Arabidopsis thaliana: one gene and its partners. The protein of the gene in region 2 purifies or fractionates together with the protein of the main gene of each other region. This does not show direct contact. Each region holds a gene or a part of one and is shown on either strand. Other genes may lie near its edges. The genes, in order: TRA2, SDH6, NIR1 and LTA3.

The links.
Region 1: the proteins of SDH6 (region 2) and TRA2 purify together in Arabidopsis thaliana (affinity purification with mass spectrometry, with the first as the bait; one large-scale study listed by BioGRID). This does not show direct contact.
Region 3: the proteins of SDH6 (region 2) and NIR1 purify together in Arabidopsis thaliana (affinity purification with mass spectrometry, with the first as the bait; one large-scale study listed by BioGRID). This does not show direct contact.
Region 4: the proteins of SDH6 (region 2) and LTA3 purify together in Arabidopsis thaliana (affinity purification with mass spectrometry, with the first as the bait; one large-scale study listed by BioGRID). This does not show direct contact.

The regions. Positions count from the first base shown.
Region 1 is NC_003076.8:4,301,280-4,306,063, reverse strand, and holds TRA2 (Aldolase-type TIM barrel family protein), read left to right. Parts: upstream 1-1,748; 5' UTR 1,749-1,851; coding exon 1,852-2,027; intron 2,028-2,223; coding exon 2,224-2,395; intron 2,396-2,488; coding exon 2,489-2,538; intron 2,539-2,660; coding exon 2,661-2,961; intron 2,962-3,192; coding exon 3,193-3,381; intron 3,382-3,468; coding exon 3,469-3,651; intron 3,652-3,738; coding exon 3,739-3,984; 3' UTR 3,985-4,272; downstream 4,273-4,784. Other genes in the region: AT5G13430 (Ubiquinol-cytochrome C reductase iron-sulfur subunit), read left to right, coding at 7-650; AT5G13410 (FKBP-like peptidyl-prolyl cis-trans isomerase family protein), read left to right, coding at 4,358-4,426, 4,503-4,572, 4,652-4,784.
Region 2 is NC_003070.9:2,682,495-2,686,204, forward strand, and holds SDH6 (succinate dehydrogenase subunit), read left to right. Parts: upstream 1-1,681; 5' UTR 1,682-1,845; coding exon 1,846-2,025; intron 2,026-2,386; coding exon 2,387-2,489; intron 2,490-2,755; coding exon 2,756-2,901; 3' UTR 2,902-3,208; downstream 3,209-3,710. Other genes in the region: SSL3 (strictosidine synthase-like 3), read right to left, coding at 1-170, 375-542, 805-1,080, 1,158-1,483; CPNIFS (chloroplastic NIFS-like cysteine desulfurase), read right to left, coding at 3,486-3,656.
Region 3 is NC_003071.7:6,808,463-6,813,450, forward strand, and holds NIR1 (nitrite reductase 1), read left to right. Parts: upstream 1-1,932; 5' UTR 1,933-2,089; coding exon 2,090-2,465; intron 2,466-2,661; coding exon 2,662-3,016; intron 3,017-3,097; coding exon 3,098-3,386; intron 3,387-3,463; coding exon 3,464-4,204; 3' UTR 4,205-4,479; downstream 4,480-4,988. UniProt on the Arabidopsis thaliana protein: Catalyzes the six-electron reduction of nitrite to ammonium.
Region 4 is NC_003074.8:19,358,561-19,366,207, reverse strand, and holds the start of LTA3 (Dihydrolipoamide acetyltransferase, long form protein), read right to left. Parts: upstream 6,003-7,647; 5' UTR 5,892-6,002; coding exon 5,797-5,891; intron 5,414-5,796; coding exon 5,357-5,413; intron 5,200-5,356; coding exon 5,145-5,199; intron 5,064-5,144; coding exon 5,030-5,063; intron 4,881-5,029; coding exon 4,603-4,880; intron 4,509-4,602; coding exon 4,464-4,508; intron 4,296-4,463; coding exon 4,222-4,295; intron 4,083-4,221; coding exon 4,013-4,082; intron 3,599-4,012; coding exon 3,407-3,598; intron 3,311-3,406; coding exon 3,266-3,310; intron 3,160-3,265; coding exon 3,086-3,159; intron 2,779-3,085; coding exon 2,709-2,778; intron 2,454-2,708; coding exon 2,064-2,453; intron 1,981-2,063; coding exon 1,920-1,980; intron 1,847-1,919; coding exon 1,802-1,846; intron 1,717-1,801; coding exon 1,633-1,716; intron 1,250-1,632; coding exon 1,173-1,249; intron 1,103-1,172; coding exon 1,040-1,102; intron 902-1,039; coding exon 831-901; intron 733-830; and 8 more.

The DNA of each region.
Region 1 (4,784 bases), on a different chromosome or scaffold from region 2:
TTTCAGGCTTCTCTTCTCAAGTCCTTGCTCAAGGAAATGAGATAGGTTTTGGTTCAGAAGTCCCAGCCACAGTCGAAGCTGTCAAAACGCCTAACTCAAAGATTGTCTATGATGACCATAACCATGAGCGTTACCCACCTGGTGACCCTAGCAAGCGTGCATTCGCCTATTTTGTCTTGTCGGGTGGGAGGTTTGTTTATGCCTCTGTCCTCCGCCTGCTTGTTTTGAAGCTTATTGTGAGCATGTCTGCAAGTAAAGATGTCCTTGCCCTTGCATCCCTTGAGGTTGACCTAGGGAGCATAGAACCAGGAACTACCGTGACAGTCAAGTGGCGTGGAAAGCCCGTCTTCATCAGGCGAAGAACAGAAGATGACATCAAGCTGGCCAATAGTGTGGATGTTGGATCCCTGAGGGACCCACAAGAAGACTCGGTTAGGGTCAAGAATCCAGAATGGTTAGTGGTTGTTGGAGTGTGCACTCATTTGGGGTGCATCCCCTTGCCTAATGCTGGTGATTATGGTGGTTGGTTTTGTCCGTGTCACGGATCACATTACGATATATCTGGAAGAATTAGGAAAGGTCCTGCACCATACAACCTGGAAGTACCAACCTACAGCTTCCTGGAAGAGAATAAGTTACTCATCGGTTGATTAATAAAAGCACAACAGTCAAGAGTCTGGATCTGAATGATGATCTTCACTTGTTCTTTTTTTCTTTTAATTAATATTTTCCGGCATGTTAGAGCAAGATTGACTTGTTTTTGCTGAATAATACAAACTTGTGATTTTTGTTTGAAGTATACTCAATCTTCGTTTATCCATCGCTAGTAAAAGACGACTATGTTCATAGTCTGTGTTTATTATTTAACATGCCTATTTGTCCTATGTATGAGTGAGATTCCTTTCGTATCTCATAATTCTAAACATCGTCATTCCAATTAAAAAGTTGTATTTACATTTGAGTTTCGATAGTATCTCAACGTTCATAAAAGAAAAACTAAAGGTATGAGAAAAACCAACGTAGAAACAAACAACAAAAGGTAATATATCAGCTTTGATTGATAGTTTACAGGAAGATAACCGAATAAGTTCAAACTGTATTCGTAAGACATCCCGTGAATGAATATTCAATCATCCAAAAGTGGCATAGCTAGATTTTTTCTAGATTGGCTAAGAACACAAAAACATAATATTTTATTCTGTTTAATCTTTTTTAGTTAAGAAAAAATGTTTGACACACAAAAGCCAAAGTTTGATTTGGGTAAAAACCATTGTGGGAGATGAAAATGTTAAAATCTTGTTTGTTTTGGTCACCAACAACGGCCATGAACTATATGGGAAGTGACTTATCTCTTGTAAGTTGTTTTCCTTTTGGGATATGGGAAGTGACTTCTCCGACCCTTGCAAACTAACAACGGCCATTACACACTAATTACAAGCCAAAGGTCCTCACTAAGCAACCTCTCGTGTTTATCATAAGACACCGCTCTATCTCTTATTATTTTATTCATTGTTTTCTAATTTCAGACTGATTAATCATACATTAGAGAAAGTTTATTAAAACCATCTGATGTAAAAAATCACATTTATCTAAATTAAATAAATTTGTTATCTAGTATATAACTATTTATTGTTTTAACATTTGGATAAATTGTAAGAAATTAGAATGTAAAATAAGACAGAAAATGGTCAACTATGAGCATCTATCGCCATCATGATATAGTTTCGTCGTTTGCGTTCCCGACCTAACTCAAAACTTCACCAACCCCATTTTTAAGCCCCTTTCTTTGTTTTTATCCTCCGATCGATCAAACCAAGAAAAAACACTTTCGTATTTCCCTCGACGAAAAAAATGGCAACCATTTCGAATCTCGCTAATCTTCCCCGCGCCACCTGCGTCGACTCCAAATCTTCTTCCTCTTCCTCCGTCTTACCTAGATCCTTCGTCAATTTCCGCGCTTTGAATGCAAAGCTTTCCTCTTCTCAGCTTTCTCTTCGTTATAACCAACGATCAATACCTTCCCTCTCGTAAGTCTTTATATCCATTTGATGCATGTCTTTTGTCTCTGTTTCTCGCTCTTGGGGTTCACCAAAAATTGAATCTTTTTAGCTGGAAACGTACCACGAATCTCAAAGTAACATTTTTTATAAGATGGATTAGGAAAAGCAACTGTATTTCCCCTTTTTGGTTGGTAAAAGTCTGATTTTTTTGTTTAATTTGCAGTGTGAGGTGTTCAGTGTCTGGTGGAAATGGAACTGCTGGAAAGAGAACGACTCTTCATGATCTATATGAGAAGGAAGGTCAGAGTCCTTGGTATGATAATCTTTGCCGTCCAGTCACAGATCTTCTCCCGTTGATTGCTCGTGGTGTTAGAGGTGTTACTAGCAACCCTGCGGTAATTTTATCATCTCTCTTTGTGTGTTTGGTTTTGCTTTTGCTCTGTGTTTGTTCATTTGTCTTTACTTCTTCACTTTTTATACATTTGCAGATCTTCCAAAAAGCCATTTCCACTTCAAATGCTTATAATGATCAATTCAGGTATCTTTTTGTGATTGTCTTAGACTTGTGGTTGTTAACAACATGCTATTAAAACTTTAGAGTTCTTCTTTATATGAAAAGTTGTCTGATATGTTAATGGTATACCTGACATGCACTATTAGGACACTTGTGGAATCGGGAAAGGACATTGAAAGTGCGTATTGGGAACTTGTGGTGAAGGATATTCAGGATGCCTGCAAACTTTTTGAGCCAATCTATGACCAGACAGAAGGTGCGGATGGCTATGTCTCTGTTGAAGTTTCACCTAGGCTTGCTGATGATACCCAAGGAACTGTTGAAGCTGCTAAATATCTTAGCAAGGTTGTCAACCGTCGTAATGTCTACATTAAGATTCCTGCTACTGCTCCATGCATTCCTTCCATCAGGGATGTCATTGCAGCTGGAATAAGTGTCAATGTCACGGTAAGTTATCCTAGTATGTTTCATTATTCAAGTTTCTTATTGCAAGTTTTAAAGAACTTCAAAATAAAATAAGTCATAATACTTCAAATTCATGTATTGTGTGATGATGTGCTAGATCACTGGATTTCTTGGGCGTTTTAAACCTGAAACTAGATTAGTTCAAGGGTGTTCCAAGGATGCACTGATGTTACCTTTTCTAAATCGTTTCTCATATGTTCTGTTCTGTTTCAGCTTATATTCTCAATCGCCAGATATGAAGCAGTGATCGATGCATATTTGGATGGCCTCGAGGCGTCTGGACTTGATGACCTCTCAAGAGTTACCAGTGTTGCTTCCTTCTTTGTCAGTCGGGTGGATACTCTCATGGACAAGATGCTTGAGCAAATTGGTACCCCTGAAGCCTTAGATCTCCGTGGGAAGGTAAAGCTCTATTCATCGCTGAGATCTTACACCAGCCACTGTGAGTAGAGTATTAGCTTATGACACATGATATGTTTACTCTTGCAGGCGGCTGTGGCTCAAGCTGCATTAGCATACAAGCTATACCAGCAGAAATTCTCTGGCCCAAGATGGGAAGCTCTGGTAAAGAAAGGTGCCAAGAAACAGAGACTTCTCTGGGCATCAACAAGTGTAAAGAACCCAGCTTACTCTGACACCTTATATGTCGCTCCTCTCATCGGACCTGACACTGTAAGTCATCTTTTTGTTTGTGTTGAAGTCAATAGGCTGTATTAACGCTTTGGAAGTATATTCATAGTTTTTGTGGGTGTGATTTAGGTATCAACCATGCCGGATCAAGCCCTGGAAGCATTCGCAGATCATGGAATAGTGAAGAGGACAATAGATGCGAATGTGTCAGAAGCAGAAGGGATTTACAGTGCACTAGAGAAGCTGGGAATAGACTGGAACAAAGTAGGAGAACAGTTGGAAGACGAAGGAGTAGATTCCTTCAAGAAGAGTTTCGAGAGTCTGCTCGGTACACTGCAAGACAAGGCCAACACTCTCAAACTAGCCAGCCATTGAGGAAATGAGTCATCATTATGTTTTTGGTTACGCTAAAATAAAAAGAAGAACCTTTGGCTTTTGTTCTTCAATCCTTATGCATGCTTTCTAAAGTGGTTATGATGGATTTTGCTTGATGTTCCACATTATGGGTTATTCTATTTTCTTTGTTCTTGTAAGATGATGCTTCAGAAGAGTTTGTTACTTTTTACCGTATTTGTAATTTACATTTTCACTGAAAACAATTGGCGAGTAAAAAAGTGTCCTTGTCTTCTTCTTTGTTCGGATTATATGAACAATTGTTCCTAGAAGCCTCTCTACATAAAAAGCTGAGACTTTATCTCTCATCTCTCTTTAGACGTACAAAAAAATCAGTTTTTTAAGTTTCACTCTAATGGCGTCAATTTCGTCCTTTGGCTGCTTCCCTCAATCCACAGCGCTCGCCGGAACTTCCTCCACCACCGTACGACGCCGCACCATCTCTCTGTTTCTTCTTCTTCTTCCTTTTTATTCACTGAATCTCTCATTTTGATTCTCAGAGATGCCGGACGACTGTGGCTGCTCGATTAGCTGACCAATCAGATGACTTCGCTCCTCTTCGTTCTTCTGGTTGGCTTGCTTCTACAGTTTTACTTTTCTGTTTCCTCCTCAACAGTGAATTGAATTATAACTTCAGTTTTGAAAACAGGTGGGAATTGTGGATGTGTTAATAATTCTGGAGAGTTTGATCGCAGAAAGTTGTTGGTTTCTTCTGTTGGTTTGTTGATTGGAGCATTGTCATACGATTCTAAAGATGGAGACTTTGCATCAGCTTCTCAATT
Region 2 (3,710 bases):
TCACCCTCGGGTAATGCGCCATCAAGTGTGTGAATATGTTTCTGTGGCAGTGCACCGCCACCCAGAAATCTCCATCTTTGTTTGTGCGGATGTTGTCTGGGAACCCATGTAATAGAGCTACCACTTCTGACGTTCCAGCTTTCTCCCCTTTCAACCAGTATTTCCGTAATCTGAACAACAACAACAAAAAATGACTTAGATTCTGTTCACAGTATTGGAGTTTGTTTCTAGCAGAATCATTGAAACGATATGGAAACAACATGCTAATCGTTCCATTTTAGCTTCAATCAGAAATGCTGATTGCAGAAGTTATGCCAAGTATATATACAGACAATGATGTGGAAGTCAGAGAGGAATTAAGATGAAGGACTCACCTTCCAATAGATCCTTCACAAAAGATGAAAAAGGAGCCGTCTTTGCCGAGGGATAATCCGTTAGGAAACTGGAGATTTCTCACGAGAGTGGTAGTCTCCTTTGTTTTTGGATTGTATTTCAACACCCTCCCACTGTCTTCCCCCGAGACAATCAAAAGCATAAATTTCCTACAAATAGCGCAATCAACATACTCAAACAAAAGTAGTAACTAGACATCGGAAGCTCATTGCAACTTCTTGTAGATCCTCAAAAGATAAACAGAATTCAACATTTAAGGCTCTGAAGTTATAGCCGCAGTCAAAATTTTCAATTTATGTGCCTATGACAGATCATTTCAATCAATATAACATGAGTTCCAAAAAGCAACACTTTATGCAAGCCACTGATCAGGAGAGTTAGTAAAGATCAAAACTTTAAAACCTTACATACCTTCGTTGGAAGAAAGAGCTGCTATCAGTAAAGTAAACATTGCCTTCATCATCAATGTCAAGATCATTGGTAAATCTCAAAGGCACACCATCAGCCTCGTTTGTAACAGAAGTTGCTAAACCTCCTTCCGGACCAACTTTCATTATCCCCAAATACGCATCTGCAATGTACAAATCCCCATTTTTCTTGTCGAATCGAAGACCTAAAGGCCGACCACAGATATCTTCATCCTTTAAGTAATCCAAAAGCGATGGCTTAGGATCACATAGCTCTGACCTAATAAAACATCAAAGTTGAGAACTTTACTGGAAACGAAATGGTCACAAAGACTCGATTGCAATCACAAGACTCACCGATTGTTCGAAGTATATGCGAAATCTGTCCAACGAGTGCCATTCCAAAAGAGAATTCGACCGTCGGCGACTCCGGTATAAGGACCACGACCTTGCGGATCGAAAGCAATGCTCTCGGGACCTTGAACCTCGTTAAGAAACCTGATCTCTGAATTCTGCAACAGATTCTGGCGGTCTCTCTCCTTTGGAAGTGACGATAACGGAGGCATGTCAATCTTGTAAGTTTTGAAATCCGGGAACTTGGAAATGGAGCTGTGACTGAAGGGATCGATAGCGCAATAGATGGCAAAGACGAGAAAGATCTTCGCGAGTATGCTCATGGCCATTTTCTTTGTACGAGGGATGATGATGATGATTTGAAGAAGAAAATGGTTGGGGAAGTTTTAAGGTAGAGAAGTAGAGAAGAAGTAGTTGCAGTAGAGTACACTTTTCTGGTTGAAAATTTAAAACTTTTCTCAATTGCTGCTCTTTTTCGATATATTAAGAAAAGTCAAGGAGCAATTGCAAATCGGCTAATCTGATGGCAACCCGGTATTAAATTAAAAAAAGAAACATGAAAACCGGGTGAACCGGATCGACCTTCCATTTTTTCGGTAGACCAGTTTTATTTATTCTGCAAATAATAATCGTCTTCAATCAGAGAAAAAGTTTGCAGTGAGAAGGAGATTGATTAATCGATCTGAGAAAGATGGGAGATTCGGAGTCATTTGTTGGGAAAAATTGGAATGGATTGAAGGATTTCTGGAGTGATAGGTTATCATTTTTCGAAAATTACACCAGATTCACCAAACGCGACGCGCCTCTTCCTTCTTGGTCTTCCTCCGACGTCGAGGAATTCATTGCCTCCGATCCCGTTCATGGACCCACCGTAATTTCCTTCTATCTTTCTCTCGCTCTGTGTTTTGGAATCTATAGATATTGTTGGTCCATTATCTATGACTCGGCTGGTACTCGATTTTACTCTGCTGTCATCGGTTTATTTTTTTCTTCTTCATTTGATTTTCCATTGGAAAGTTTCTGTTACTTTTTGATATAATAAAGTTCCACTAGGCTAGGTTTTTCTGGCTTTAGTCCTTGGAAGCACAGATACAAGAGGACTAAGCCCACTGCATCGTCGTCGGATGGCATAAAAAACCTAGCAAAAACTGAACTGTTGGTTTGGTATTTGGTATTCTTACTGAAGATCTTACGTTTGGTACTCATTGTGTATTTGTGGTCATCCTATCCAGCTGAAAACGGCTAGGGAAGCTGTGACGTTTGGTGTTACCGGAGCTGCACTTGGAGCTGTCTCTACTGCTGCTTTTGCCTGGAAATACTCCAGGAGTCCACATGGTAATGACATTTCTCTCTCTGTGAATAACTATTTGCTCTTTATAAACCTCACTTGTTTCTTCAAACGAAGACACAAAGCTTGCAATTCAGGGATAATGGGATTATTTGGGAGTCAATTAGACCTTTATGTCCTATATTGATAATACTTGGAAACTGGTTTGAAAGTTTATGCAGTTCTCATGGCGCTTACATTGTTTCTCAATACTAAATTGCTGTTTATTTTTCTTCCAACTTTTGACACCTCTAAACTACTGCTGGTGCGACAGGTGCTGCATTGTCCTTCTTAGGAGGAGGTGTTTTTGGTTGGACCTTTGGGCAAGAGGTCGCCAACCACACACTGCAACTCTACAAGTTGGACACAATGGCAGCCCAAGTTAAGTTCATGGAATGGTGGGAACGTAAGTCTCAATAAAGGTCCTGAATCTAAAACGAAGACGTGTGCTGCTTTCTCGTCCAGAGTATCTTCTTGGGAACAACATGAAATGCTGATTATCCATCCATTTCCAGACTTTCGCCTTTGAAACTTTTTCTATTCTCACTCTTGGAACATGTTTGCCTTGTCTTAATAATACAACATGCCTCATGAATGTTTTGAAGATTTGAGAAAATGAATTCAAAGAAACCAAATGGTCTCAAAAGAATCAGGGAATGACGACTACCCCAACTGAGCACATATCGAAACCTTTCCTTTGATGATTCATATTAGTAACTTTTCTTCATGTTGAGTTTGTTTTTTATGAAACTTACAAATTAACAACGAAGCATTTGCTTTCGTGTGTATTCGTACAAATATGATCAAGTAGAGGCCTGAAATTGTTCATGACTACTGTCGGTCTATTTTTTCATACAAATTGCTAACTACAACACAAATTGCCCTTCGGACTTGAAGAAACAAAATCCACTCCCATTGATCATATAAAGCAGATTTAAATAAGTAGCCTCTGAAGCAATATACCATACAAACCAGCCGAGAGATCCAGCAGGAAGGTGTTCCACTTATTTGAAAGAGTTGAAGAAGCTCACAGTGTCTGCCAGCGCAACGATGAAGGCGTCAACGTCATCCTTTGTGTTGTAAAAGTAGAGGCTGGCGCGTGCACTTGCATTCACTCCAAGATACCGGTGGAGTGGCTGTGCGCAGTGGTGTCCTGACCTTATTGCAACTCCGTGCTGCAACATACAATATTCGTTTTCAGTTTTCATCCCACTATGGATATTCTGATG
Region 3 (4,988 bases), on a different chromosome or scaffold from region 2:
GATGTGTCGTGTGTGAAATATTTCAGGTTGTAGTTTTTGTTAGTTTGTCAAGTTGATTTATGGATATATTAATTCACGTGGTCAATTATTTACGTCGAAGATGTGATAGATATTTAGTAAGCCGGACTATAGGAACAGGAGTGTGGAAGCCACACGTGGAATAGCGGTGGAGAATAATTTGGATGGATGGCGGTTTAGGCCGAACCGGGGAAGGTTTTGTTTCTTAGACATCGTGAGAAGTCATACGTTATGTCCTTAAGATTTTAAAAGCTACAAGAGCCACTAGCTATTTTTCAATTCCAATATGATAAATTAATTCTTTGTAAGCTAAATTTTATTTTAATTTCTAAATAAATGTTAAATTTTGGATAATTAACCCTAAAGCCATAAACAATTCAGAAAAAAATAACAAAATTATAACAAGCCTATTCATTGAAATTCATATATGTACAAAAAAGCTATAAATGTTCATAGTATAAATGTTTTATGTACTATAATATGTATGGATATGCAAATTCATATAAACATAAAAAATAGCAGTGATTAATATGAGATATTTAGTTCATAATTTGAATGTTTATAGTATAAATTTTGTTAATTTTTTATATAATTAAAAATGACAATATATGAATTTTAATAACCAAACATAATGTTGTCACCTCGATGTATACTAAATTGCAGGAAGATGATACATATAAGTTGAAAACGATTGTGCGAATAATCTATAGAAAAGAAATATAAATTAGAAAAAAAAAGACAATGCTAACGTTTTGGTGTGGACAAGAAAGAAGACGTTGCGACTTGCGATGATGTTTGAACCTGCAGGTAGTTTGATTCATGTCTCTAGAATAACGCTAAAGAACACCTATGGCTCTGATAACATATTATTAATATTTACATTTATTTTATTTAAAGTAGTCCATTCATAATTGCACACGACTAAATGCTACACAACTTGTCTTAGTTGTTTAATCAAGATATTTTTACCTTATGATATTTTGTGAAAAATGATACCTATAAAATCCCTAATGAGCACATCAACCTTTTTTACCTTATTATATTTTGTGAAAAATGATATCTATAAAATCCCTAATGACCACATCAACCTTGAATCTTCTCTAATAAACCTTTTTTCCAAACACGCACTAAACCAAAAATTAACATCTCAAGAGGAAACCATTTAAAAAAAAAACAGAGTTAGATTAAGATCAACAAATATAGTTGAAAAGAACATATGTTAAGCAACATTACCATAAATTCATAATTAGTAGTGATTAAAACTTAAGAATACTAAAGTATGAATATGAAAATTGTTGTATTTTTTTGTAGTATGTAATATGCGGAAACTTGGATGTTATCCTATTCATTGAAATTCATATATGTATGTAGTTATCATTTTTTAAATATATTAAAAAATTAAAAAGTAATAATACTATAAACATTCAAATTATGAAATAAATATCTCATACTAATCACTGCTAATTTTTTTTCCAATGTTTCTCTTTAGTATTTCTCTTTAGTATGGGAGTGACAAACTTAATATGAAATCTATCTCCCTACATGCAAAAATCGAATCTCTTTTATTATTAATGAAGTGTATGGTCGGTGTCAATAACTAATATGTCATATTTTTTACAGACTGTTCAGATATGATAAAAATAGTTTTTTTCCAACCAAATGGTTGGTCTTCTGAGTGTATTTGAAAACGACATTGAAGAATTAATATATTTTTTTTTAATTTTAGTTTTTTATAGTACAAATATTAAAACAAACAATCCTACCATATCATAACATTTGTAAATAACATTTTAAGTTTTGTTTTGAGTTTTAATTAATTTTCTATGACAAAAAAATGAAGTCAATAGACTAAGTGAATCATATAGTATAAATAAACACAATTTAAATAGTTTCAAATAAATTTAGAAAGAATAAAACAAATAGAAATCAGAAGGTGTCTGTTTCCTCCTCGCAACATACGATCAAAGAGAAACAACTTGACCCTTTACATTGCTCAAGAGCTCATCTCTTCCCTCTACAAAAATGGCCGCACGTCTCCAACCTTCTCCCAACTCCTTCTTCCGCCATCATCATGACTTCTTTCTCTCTCACTTTCACATCTCCTCTCCTCCCTTCCTCCTCCACCAAACCCAAAAGATCCGTCCTTGTCGCCGCCGCTCAGACCACAGCTCCGGCCGAATCCACCGCCTCTGTTGACGCAGATCGTCTCGAGCCAAGAGTTGAGTTGAAAGATGGTTTTTTTATTCTCAAGGAGAAGTTTCGAAAAGGGATCAATCCTCAGGAGAAGGTTAAGATCGAGAGAGAGCCCATGAAGTTGTTTATGGAGAATGGTATTGAAGAGCTTGCTAAGAAATCTATGGAAGAGCTTGATAGTGAAAAGTCTTCTAAAGATGATATTGATGTTAGACTCAAGTGGCTTGGTCTCTTTCACCGTAGAAAGCATCAGTGTATGTTCCTCCTCTCTATCCTCTTCCATTGACTTGTGATTGAACTGTGTAAAGGTTTCGTCTTTAGTCTTATGTGTGCTTCTTTCAATGACTTGTGATTAAATTGGTGACCAGATTGTGTAAAGGTTTAGTCTTTACTCTTTATCTTTAGTACATTTTGATTTATGAGTGCTTGTTGTTGATTTTGTTGTTGTAGATGGGAAGTTTATGATGAGGTTGAAGTTACCAAATGGTGTGACTACAAGTGCACAGACTCGGTATTTAGCGAGTGTGATTAGGAAGTATGGTGAAGATGGGTGTGCTGATGTGACTACTAGACAGAATTGGCAGATCCGTGGTGTTGTGTTGCCTGATGTGCCTGAGATCTTGAAAGGTCTTGCTTCTGTTGGTTTAACGAGTCTTCAAAGTGGTATGGATAACGTGAGGAACCCGGTTGGGAATCCTATAGCTGGGATTGATCCGGAGGAGATTGTTGACACGAGGCCTTACACGAATCTCCTTTCGCAGTTTATCACCGCTAATTCACAAGGAAACCCCGATTTCACCAACTTGTGAGTTCTCTTTTTAGATTGATGTTGTGTGTTGGTGAGTGAATGGTTATGCTAAGATGGGTTTTTGTTTGTTTGTTGTAGGCCAAGAAAGTGGAATGTGTGTGTGGTGGGGACTCATGATCTCTATGAGCATCCACATATCAATGATTTGGCCTACATGCCTGCTAATAAAGATGGACGGTTTGGATTCAATTTGCTTGTGGGAGGATTCTTTAGTCCCAAAAGATGTGAAGAAGCGATTCCTCTTGATGCTTGGGTCCCTGCTGATGACGTTCTTCCACTCTGCAAAGCTGTTCTAGAGGCTTACAGAGATCTTGGAACTCGAGGAAACCGACAGAAGACAAGAATGATGTGGCTTATCGACGAACTTGTAAGTACATGCTTCTTGCAATCTTAAATTCGGTATTGAAGTTCTTGGTTGTTGATTTGTCTGCATGAAATGTATAGGGTGTTGAAGGATTTAGAACTGAGGTAGAGAAGAGAATGCCAAATGGGAAACTCGAGAGAGGATCTTCAGAGGATCTTGTGAACAAACAGTGGGAGAGGAGAGACTATTTCGGAGTCAACCCTCAGAAACAAGAAGGTCTTAGCTTCGTGGGGCTTCACGTTCCGGTTGGTAGGCTACAAGCTGATGACATGGATGAGCTTGCTCGGTTAGCTGATACCTACGGGTCAGGTGAGCTAAGACTCACAGTAGAGCAAAACATCATCATCCCAAATGTAGAAACCTCGAAAACCGAAGCTTTGCTTCAAGAGCCGTTTCTCAAGAACCGTTTCTCCCCTGAACCATCTATCCTAATGAAAGGCTTAGTTGCTTGTACCGGTAGCCAGTTCTGCGGACAAGCGATAATCGAGACTAAGCTAAGAGCTTTAAAAGTGACAGAAGAAGTAGAGAGACTTGTATCTGTGCCAAGACCGATAAGGATGCATTGGACAGGATGTCCCAACACTTGCGGACAAGTCCAAGTAGCAGATATCGGATTCATGGGATGCTTAACACGAGGCGAGGAAGGAAAGCCAGTCGAGGGTGCTGACGTGTACGTCGGGGGACGAATAGGAAGTGACTCGCATATCGGAGAGATCTATAAGAAAGGTGTTCGTGTCACGGAGTTGGTTCCATTGGTGGCTGAGATTCTGATCAAAGAATTTGGTGCTGTGCCTAGAGAAAGAGAAGAGAATGAAGATTGATTCAAAAGCTATTGGATTCTTAATAAGTCAAGAGACCTATGAATGGTTCTCTCTCTGGTTTCAGACTTTGATACTTGATACTTGTATTTGTATTGTGCCCATAATTTTGGGTTTTGTAGCTCTCTCCTTTGTTGTAACCTGTAACTTTGTCCTTGGTTGTTTTGTAATATCTTGTTTTTTAGTAATAGTAGTATAATCTGATTTTTTGTCATATATTGTCTTGATTTCTCTGTGATATTTATAAGAAATAAACATTTGTTTCTTTTTACCTCCAATATTTTTGTTTTTGATATATCAAAAGTTAAGGGAATAGATTTTAATTAATAAAATATATTGATAATATTCTTAAAAGATTATTAATAAATTAAATTGTTTTTTTTTTAACGTCAATTTCATTAATTTTTAAGAAAGAGTACATGGTAAATAAAGCCCAACAACACAATTATAAAGTCCAACTACAAACCCAATAGAAAGATTACAACTTGAGATTAAACTAGGTTTAGAAGGGACACGTGTTTAATTATCTGTTCTTGCGCATGTTGGATGAGAAAAGATGCCGATATGACTCATCACCGCCATCTTGAGTTGAACCGTCGATCGAAATTACCTAGTCCGTCGTTGAAATTTGAACCATCATAATTATTAAACTCTGGAACACGCGACATAGCAAGAGGGCAGATCAGTTGCAAAACACACTCTCCTGAACTGTTCTACGCCGGCCACCAAAGCTCCACTCAACACAATTCACGATCTTAAAGAGGCACCTTCATCGTTACCAGATTAT
Region 4 (7,647 bases), on a different chromosome or scaffold from region 2:
TGTGATCAGAGTTAACAATGTAGACCAGCAGTTCTGGTTCTGGATGTGCACGTGGGTTGGTCCGAGGTTTATTATGTAGTAATCCAAGATTCATTTGGTAAACAGTTGGATCTTTCTCACAGAAGAAGTCTTCGAACATCCTCAAAGTTTGAACGCAATTCAGACATAAACGAAGCTGAAACAAAGCCGGTTTCATAGAAAAAGCAATGAGTAACAAAGGAGAAACACAGTGAAATATGGCAGCAGCATAACATAAAACTCGAAACGAAGGGATTTATGAATGTTCCATTACCTCCAACTTGTCCATCAAAGATCCGATGATCAGCGGATAACGTTACATTCATTTTTGTCACAACAGAAGGCTTCTCAATTCCTGAAACAATGACGAAAACTTGTCATACCATGATCAGAATAGCAACCCTAGTTGAAAACCCAAAAGGATTCTACTAGCTCACCATCTAGTCCAATAACTGGCTCAACCACTTTGTTTCCTCTACCAACTGCTAGAATCCCAGCCTGCAAGACAATTGATAGTCCTGAAGTTTATTATCCAAAAAAACACATCTGCATCTCTATAAATATTAAACTAAATCCTCTACACCACAAATTACAAACAGCAAAACTTAATCTTCAATCTGTGATTCAGGGTGCATCGTTAAGGCTATGATTACCTGAGGGGGGTTAATGATTGCGCAGAAATTATCCACAGGATACATTCCTAGATTTGATATGCTGCAAAACGATAAAGTATGGTTTTCTCGTTAAGTAGGAAAAGTTACACATGATTGATAATTCCGTACTATGCTTAATAACTTAAAAATGATGAATACCTGAATGTCCCTCCTTGAAACTCATGAGGAGCAAGCTTTCCAGATCGAGCCTTTTGTGCCAGCTCCTTAACCTGATCCAAAAATCATTTGACATATTAAAATTCATAACTATAGCGATCAACAACACATGGAATATGGTAAGAACTGATCAAACATATGTGCCTCTATAGCCTTCCATATTCGTTTAACTTCAGAGAGAATAAAATTACCTCTAAGGAAATAGCAGAAATAGATTTCTGGTCTGCATTCTTGATAATTGGAGTCATTAAGCCCTGCAAAAAATGCCAAGATGATGAGGGATAAACTGTTGAAATGATCAGAAAATCAAACACACAAGTGTACCTTCTCAGTTGCAACTGCAATTGATATGTCAACACTGTCACACATAACGATATCTCCTTTCTCAGCATCCCAGAAAGCTGCCAGACATTGAGAAAGAGAACTTTAAGCAACCATAAGAAAGGTTTGAGAAAGCAGAAGAGAAAAAACAACCACACGATTCCAATCCACAAATCATTACATCAAACTCACACCAAAAAATGTCCTACTTGTAACGACTAAAACCGAGTCTAAAATGCATTACCAGTCATATTGAATGTTACAGTATTACAATCTCAAAACATCTTTACTAAATACTCTCAACGGAGGTAAACGGCATTGCAAGAATAATCCAACATGGAAGCCGAGTTTCCTTAAAGAGGATGAACTAAGGTTTTAATCTAGCGCATAGTTAGGGATGGGAACAAACCATAGTTTAGTTATTTTTAATGAAATCATTTACGAGGAGAAAATAATTTCTCACCATTAGCTTGTCGTACATTCCTCAGTGCGACTGCCACTGCTTTAATAACTATGTCATTGACAGACACTTTAACGCCATGGTTTTCTGTAGATCATGAAAGTACAGTTCACTCTGAGCCTCTCAAGTTGTTAATAAATACCAGGATGTGTGATAAGAGCAGTCTACAAACCTTGAAGTTCTTTTCTAAATGCAAGAAGAGGATCCAATACAACATCTGCAGGCAAAATAAAATGCTTAAACAGCAAATAAAATACACAAAGAAAATACAAAGGTTGTGAGTCACCAACCTGATTGTAAATACAAATGGGGTATCTTCTGTTTTGATTCCAATAAACGTTTTGCTATAATCTGCCAAGTGGGGAAAGTAAAACAGAATGCAGCAGGACATATTTCATCATTCTACATAGAGAGTAATAAATATGTTAATTTACCTTGCGAATTTGACTATTTGGAAAATCTTCATAATTATTATCTGACTGTGTCACAGAAGGCTTCGATGTGGAGGAGGATTTAGACGGGGTCTCCTTTGATGGTTGCTTCTTCTTCGTAGACGCAGATGATTTAGAAGCTTTTCCAGAAGCAATTGCGGCCACAACGTCTGATTTCAATAATGTACCATAGGGACCCGATGCCTCAATTGATGATGCCTCCAATCCATGTTCTAAAATCAATAGCTTTGCAGCAGGACTGATCTTTGTGAAGCCTGCTTTCCTCTCTGTAGGTTTATCTACAACACTGTCAGGGACTTCTTTAACTGTATCAACCTCAGAACTACCTGCGGAAGAAGACTTGATGGCTTCAATACTTTCAGCATCTTCAACCTACAGAGAAGAACGATTAGCTTATTATATCCCCCAATCTGCAAGCAATTGTATTTTCAAAGATTTTTTGTGCAGGCATAACTTTTACTTCAGGCAATATATAACGTAGCATGGAACTAGAAGAGTGTCGACCAATTTATGCACAAAATGCATTACACACAGGCTAGTAAAACAAATGGATTAAATATACCAGTCGTAATACAGTTTTCTGGCATAAAGAATTCAGTCAATGTACTTTTGAACTAAAAGACTTACTATTAGGGCAATCGGCTTTCCCACCGCCACATCCTTGGAACCTTCAGGAATTAGAATCTTAGCTAAGTACCTACACAAAAGTCATCCATCAAGTTATAGAATCTATTATATAACTTCACTCATTTGATCCAGGAAATCAGTTTTTGTAGAGGAAGCCCATACTCATATGAAAACTACGAAACATGAAATCAACCTTTTAAATCACTATCAGTTCAAGGGGGAACACTTGGAGAGACCTTACTTTTTGCAATTAACATTTACTTCTCACTTAACCAAACAAGAAAAGAAGCAATATCCACAGATAGTGAATGCTATATAGAATGAACATCAACATACTGCCTAGAAAAAGAAATAAGACGACAAGATGTTAGTTATACCCCTCTTCAAGGCTTTCAAATTCCAGAGTGGCTTTGTCAGTCTCGATCTCACCTATGACATCACCCACTTCAATCTGTTTCATGAAATGAGAAGAATCAACACAGGCAAGTGCATAAACATCAGATTTCTTGTGGTGAAATTACAATGCCAATTTACTCATCGGGTCACCAGAAACTAACCTTGTCACCCTCTTTTTTCCACCATTTGGCAATATTACCTTGGTTCTGCACATCAATAAACAAATAATTCAGAGTCTTAGGATAGAAAGCTGAATGCCTTCTCCTCCAAAAAAAGCTAGCATAAAATATGAAATTTCATACCATTGTAGGAGAAAGTGCTGGCATTTCTAAGACGACATGTGGGGGAAGATCTGATGCATCGGGCTGAATGGAACTTTTTTGTTGTGTGCTTTCGTCAGGTTTCATCACTTGATGAGCTGATGTTTCCTCTTTACCATCTCGTCCACCCTCTATGGTAGCAGGAACGTTTTTAATGTCGTCTTCCTCCTCAACCTTGGTTACAATTAAATAGATAAGATTAAACTCTTATCCATCAACCTTATGTAGCAAGATGTTGACCAAAACTGTAACCAATATACGCTACACCCTAAACCCTACGATATATCATGTTTGGGGACATAACATGACAACTCAGTATGGCAAACGGAAATATTTAGAAGAAGAGAGCATGAGATTGGATCTTGGACATTTTTCCACAATAAATATTGACAACGAAATACCATACATCTCTATGATTTGTCAAGTCTTCCAGAATGTAAACCCAGGAAACGAAAGAAAGTGAAAGAGGCCAAGAGCAGACTAGATAAACAAACAGGAACTCCTAATAAGCGTATGTTGATGCATGCATCACCTTTTGTGAGATCATACTTGGTTTCTATAAATGTATAAGACAGCCACTGTGCTTACCATTATTGCAATCGGTTCATTAACAGGGATATCCTTTGATCCTTCAGTGACTAAAATCTTGGCCAGAAATCTGCAGAACCATGCTTCATAGTAAGCCAATTGACATTTTCATATACTTATAGGGAGTCAGATATTTGAATTACCAAGGTATAATGAAATAAAAATACAAATCAAAACATAAAATCATGAACCGTCTTTTTCAAAATTACCCTTCCTCTTGACTCTCAAATTCTACAGTGGCTTTGTCTGTCTCTATCTCACATAGTACATCACCCACCTCTACCTGTCAGGAAGAACCAAATTCATACCTGTTACTGAGAATTTCCACATTCTATATTTTCTTTGCCAGCTAAATTATCAATTTATCGTCTTTCTTGTATAATGATCATTAGTAGACAAAATCATAAAAGTCGACTGAAATTTTGTCAACCAAAAATAAGAAATAACCCACCTTGTCACCTTCTTTCTTCATCCATTTTACAACATTTCCATGACTCTGCAAAAGCCCAACAAACATAAAACAATGATTGAAGTCCAAATGTCTTGGAGGAGGCCAAAATTCTTTACAAGATTGAAGTCAAATTTCCTACCATAGTAGGAGACAAGGCTGGCATTGCAAGAACCGTCTGTGATATGGGTCCTACAACCCAAAGAAAATAATAATTTAATGGAAGAATCTTGTATAATTGATTGCATCTCCTGTCGCTGTATCTAAGGTATGATGGAAGCACAAACATCAGAGAAAAGAGTGATATGGAAGTTTTTGCACCTGCATCAATTAACATTTCTATTTTTCTACAAGTTAAGCGAAAGTTTCCATTAATTATTCTTATCACCCACTTAACATCTGTGTTGGTAAGTCTTATGGCTAAAACAATTTAACAATTGCCGACAGGTTGCTCAAATCAGATGAAAGTCCCATAATCAACTCGTTTAGTAATTCTATAATGGAATTGCTTGGTTGACTCATTTATGAAGATCATTATTCCATAAGATGACATAACAATCAATGAATACCTGTAGATGAAAAGTTTTGCACGCCAAATCGCAGCTACAAGAAAACAATGTATGTGAGAAACACGGATAGATGAAAGTGAAAAAAGAAAAGAAACAGTACTAGCTGTTCACTTACAATGGGCTTTGGAGAACTATCATCCATTCTTGTAATCAAGTCTATAGAGGCAGACCTGAAAATGTAGAACAGACAAAATCTCAAACTAGACTAACAATCTAACACATACGAAACGAACTAAATTATAACCTTAAACTTTGAATGCCTACGATCACACTGACTTTTTCTATAAAAATAAATCTTGTCCTCAATTTGTGATATGGAACACATACCTCACACCATTACTGCTACTAATTTTGTCGTCCAAGTGGTATAGTCCATTAGAAAAGCTGAATAAGAAAGTTCATTGTCAAATGTATTGGAAAGGTAAAGAGATCACACCAGTTTAAGGACACACTTGTTCTTCACTGCGAGTGACGTAAAATGGAAATTACATCTCACAAACTAGAGAAGATAAACCCGTACTACCAGTTCGATAAGAAAAAATGGATAGTTCAATTGTTCCAACAAAACCAAATTTGGCATTCTTAAACATCACTATACAATACGTAATAAGAACTCCAAAAAAAGTCAATGGATGATTGCGGAAAAGGAAAATGAAATCGAACTAAGAAACAGTTCAGTCATCGAATTGCAAAGGATCACACATGGAAGAAGAGCAACATCAAAATACTTTGAAAGAGGCGGGACTAGATAGAGAGAATAAGCGTACCGAGAATGGAATTCGGAGGCAGGAGCGAAAAGACGAGCTCTGAGAAGCGAGGAAGTCCGGGCGATCGCAGCGCGCCGGAAGAGCGGAAGCACCATGAGAGCACTTGGAGAAAAGAGAGCAGGGTTTGACAAAATCACAAATGAGAGAGACGATGATACCGAATCGTAACACTTTTGATTTTGGTCAGATCGCAGCGACGACGGCACGAACGATTCTATGACATTAGGAAAGTGTTCATAATTCAGATACGGCCCGGTCCGGCCCGGATTAACAAATACCAGTAATCTCTACCGAACCGGAAATTCACACTTTTAATCACATATTTAATTGTCCGGTCGAGTGACGAACCGAAGTTTATTAGACATTAAAAGAGTGCCATCGATTAAGGGTTTGATTGGTTTGTTTGTGCGACCACCTTCTACGTTTCCGAAAGGTCGCGGTTACATAAATACAGATTCTCTAAATTGTTCTCTATACACTAAAGTCTTATACCGTTCAAGTTTATAACCATTTTTAATCAGAAAATAACATGTATCATTGTATCAAAGCTTAACGGTAATGGGTTTTAAAATAAATGTTTTACAAATTAATAAGAAGTGAACAAAAAATTTCTCTCTACAATTATCAACTTGATTCAAGTTAAAATAGTTAATAGAACATATAGTATTTTGAGAATCTGTCTCAAGGTTGAGTTTTGGTAGTAGTACACCAGAGATCATCGTTGTTGTTGGACTTATGTGAATCAAATGGAAGCGATTTGACCAGCGAGGGGCGAATGGGACATTATTCTCTAATAGTTGGAGGTTGATGCTTCTGGATGGTTTGTTCTTGATGGGACGCGCATGGGAGTCGAATCTTGAAACAATAGCTAGGTAGGTGATTTTCGAGACGACATTCTTAACGTTAATCATAATACGATAAGATGTCAGAATAGTGAAAAACCAAAAACAAAAAATTGGGAGTAGACAAATAAGAGGTAGAATTGTGTTCTTATACTTGATGGTGAGCTCAGAAAAAAAGAGAGACTTAAGATGTAGAAGCTGAGTATCGTCGAATGTAATAAGCGATATATGTTGCTTGTTGAATGCAAGCCCAATTAGCGATATCTAGTTAAGGAGAACGACATATAGATCAAATCTCATATATCAAAGGTATATGAGCTAGTCTTTATGAATTATGGGTGTGTTGTAATATATCAAGAGATTCTTTCGATCTGTACAGATGTAGTGAACGAGTATTTATAAGAAATATATGACTGGAACTAGTGACAAAAGGTTGAGTGAGTTGGTCGAATCGTTTAAGTTGTTGGATAACAAATAATCGAATACGTTATATTGTGTGTAATTTCGGCAGATGGAACATGAACTATTAACACTACTAGATAACTTTTTGTGATGCGTCGTCACTTAGGTGGAAGAAGGCATGCACGCGTTGTCGAACAACACGTTTTTCTCCATACATGCACATAGCCAGTCTCATGTGGATCGTCAAGCATTTCCAGCATCATAGGAATTTGATCATTTTTGCTTGAAACATGATTTGTTCTACGCAGTATCAAAACTTAGTTTTGAGATATAATACTCTTTAACTATTGTATATAAAATTTTAATTGACCTATGTGATACTATTAATATTGTTTAATTATTTATCTATATTTTTCTTTCTAATTTATATGTACAAATTGATTTATTTATTTTTAATTTCTTACTATTGTTATTCTATATAGTATTTTTCTCATCTATATCCTCATAATTTATTTGAAATCGTCTCTAATATTTTGTTTGTGTTAATTATCTATATAAAAGTTTAATTCCTTTTATACTTTATTTGTAACTAGTATTATACCCGGTG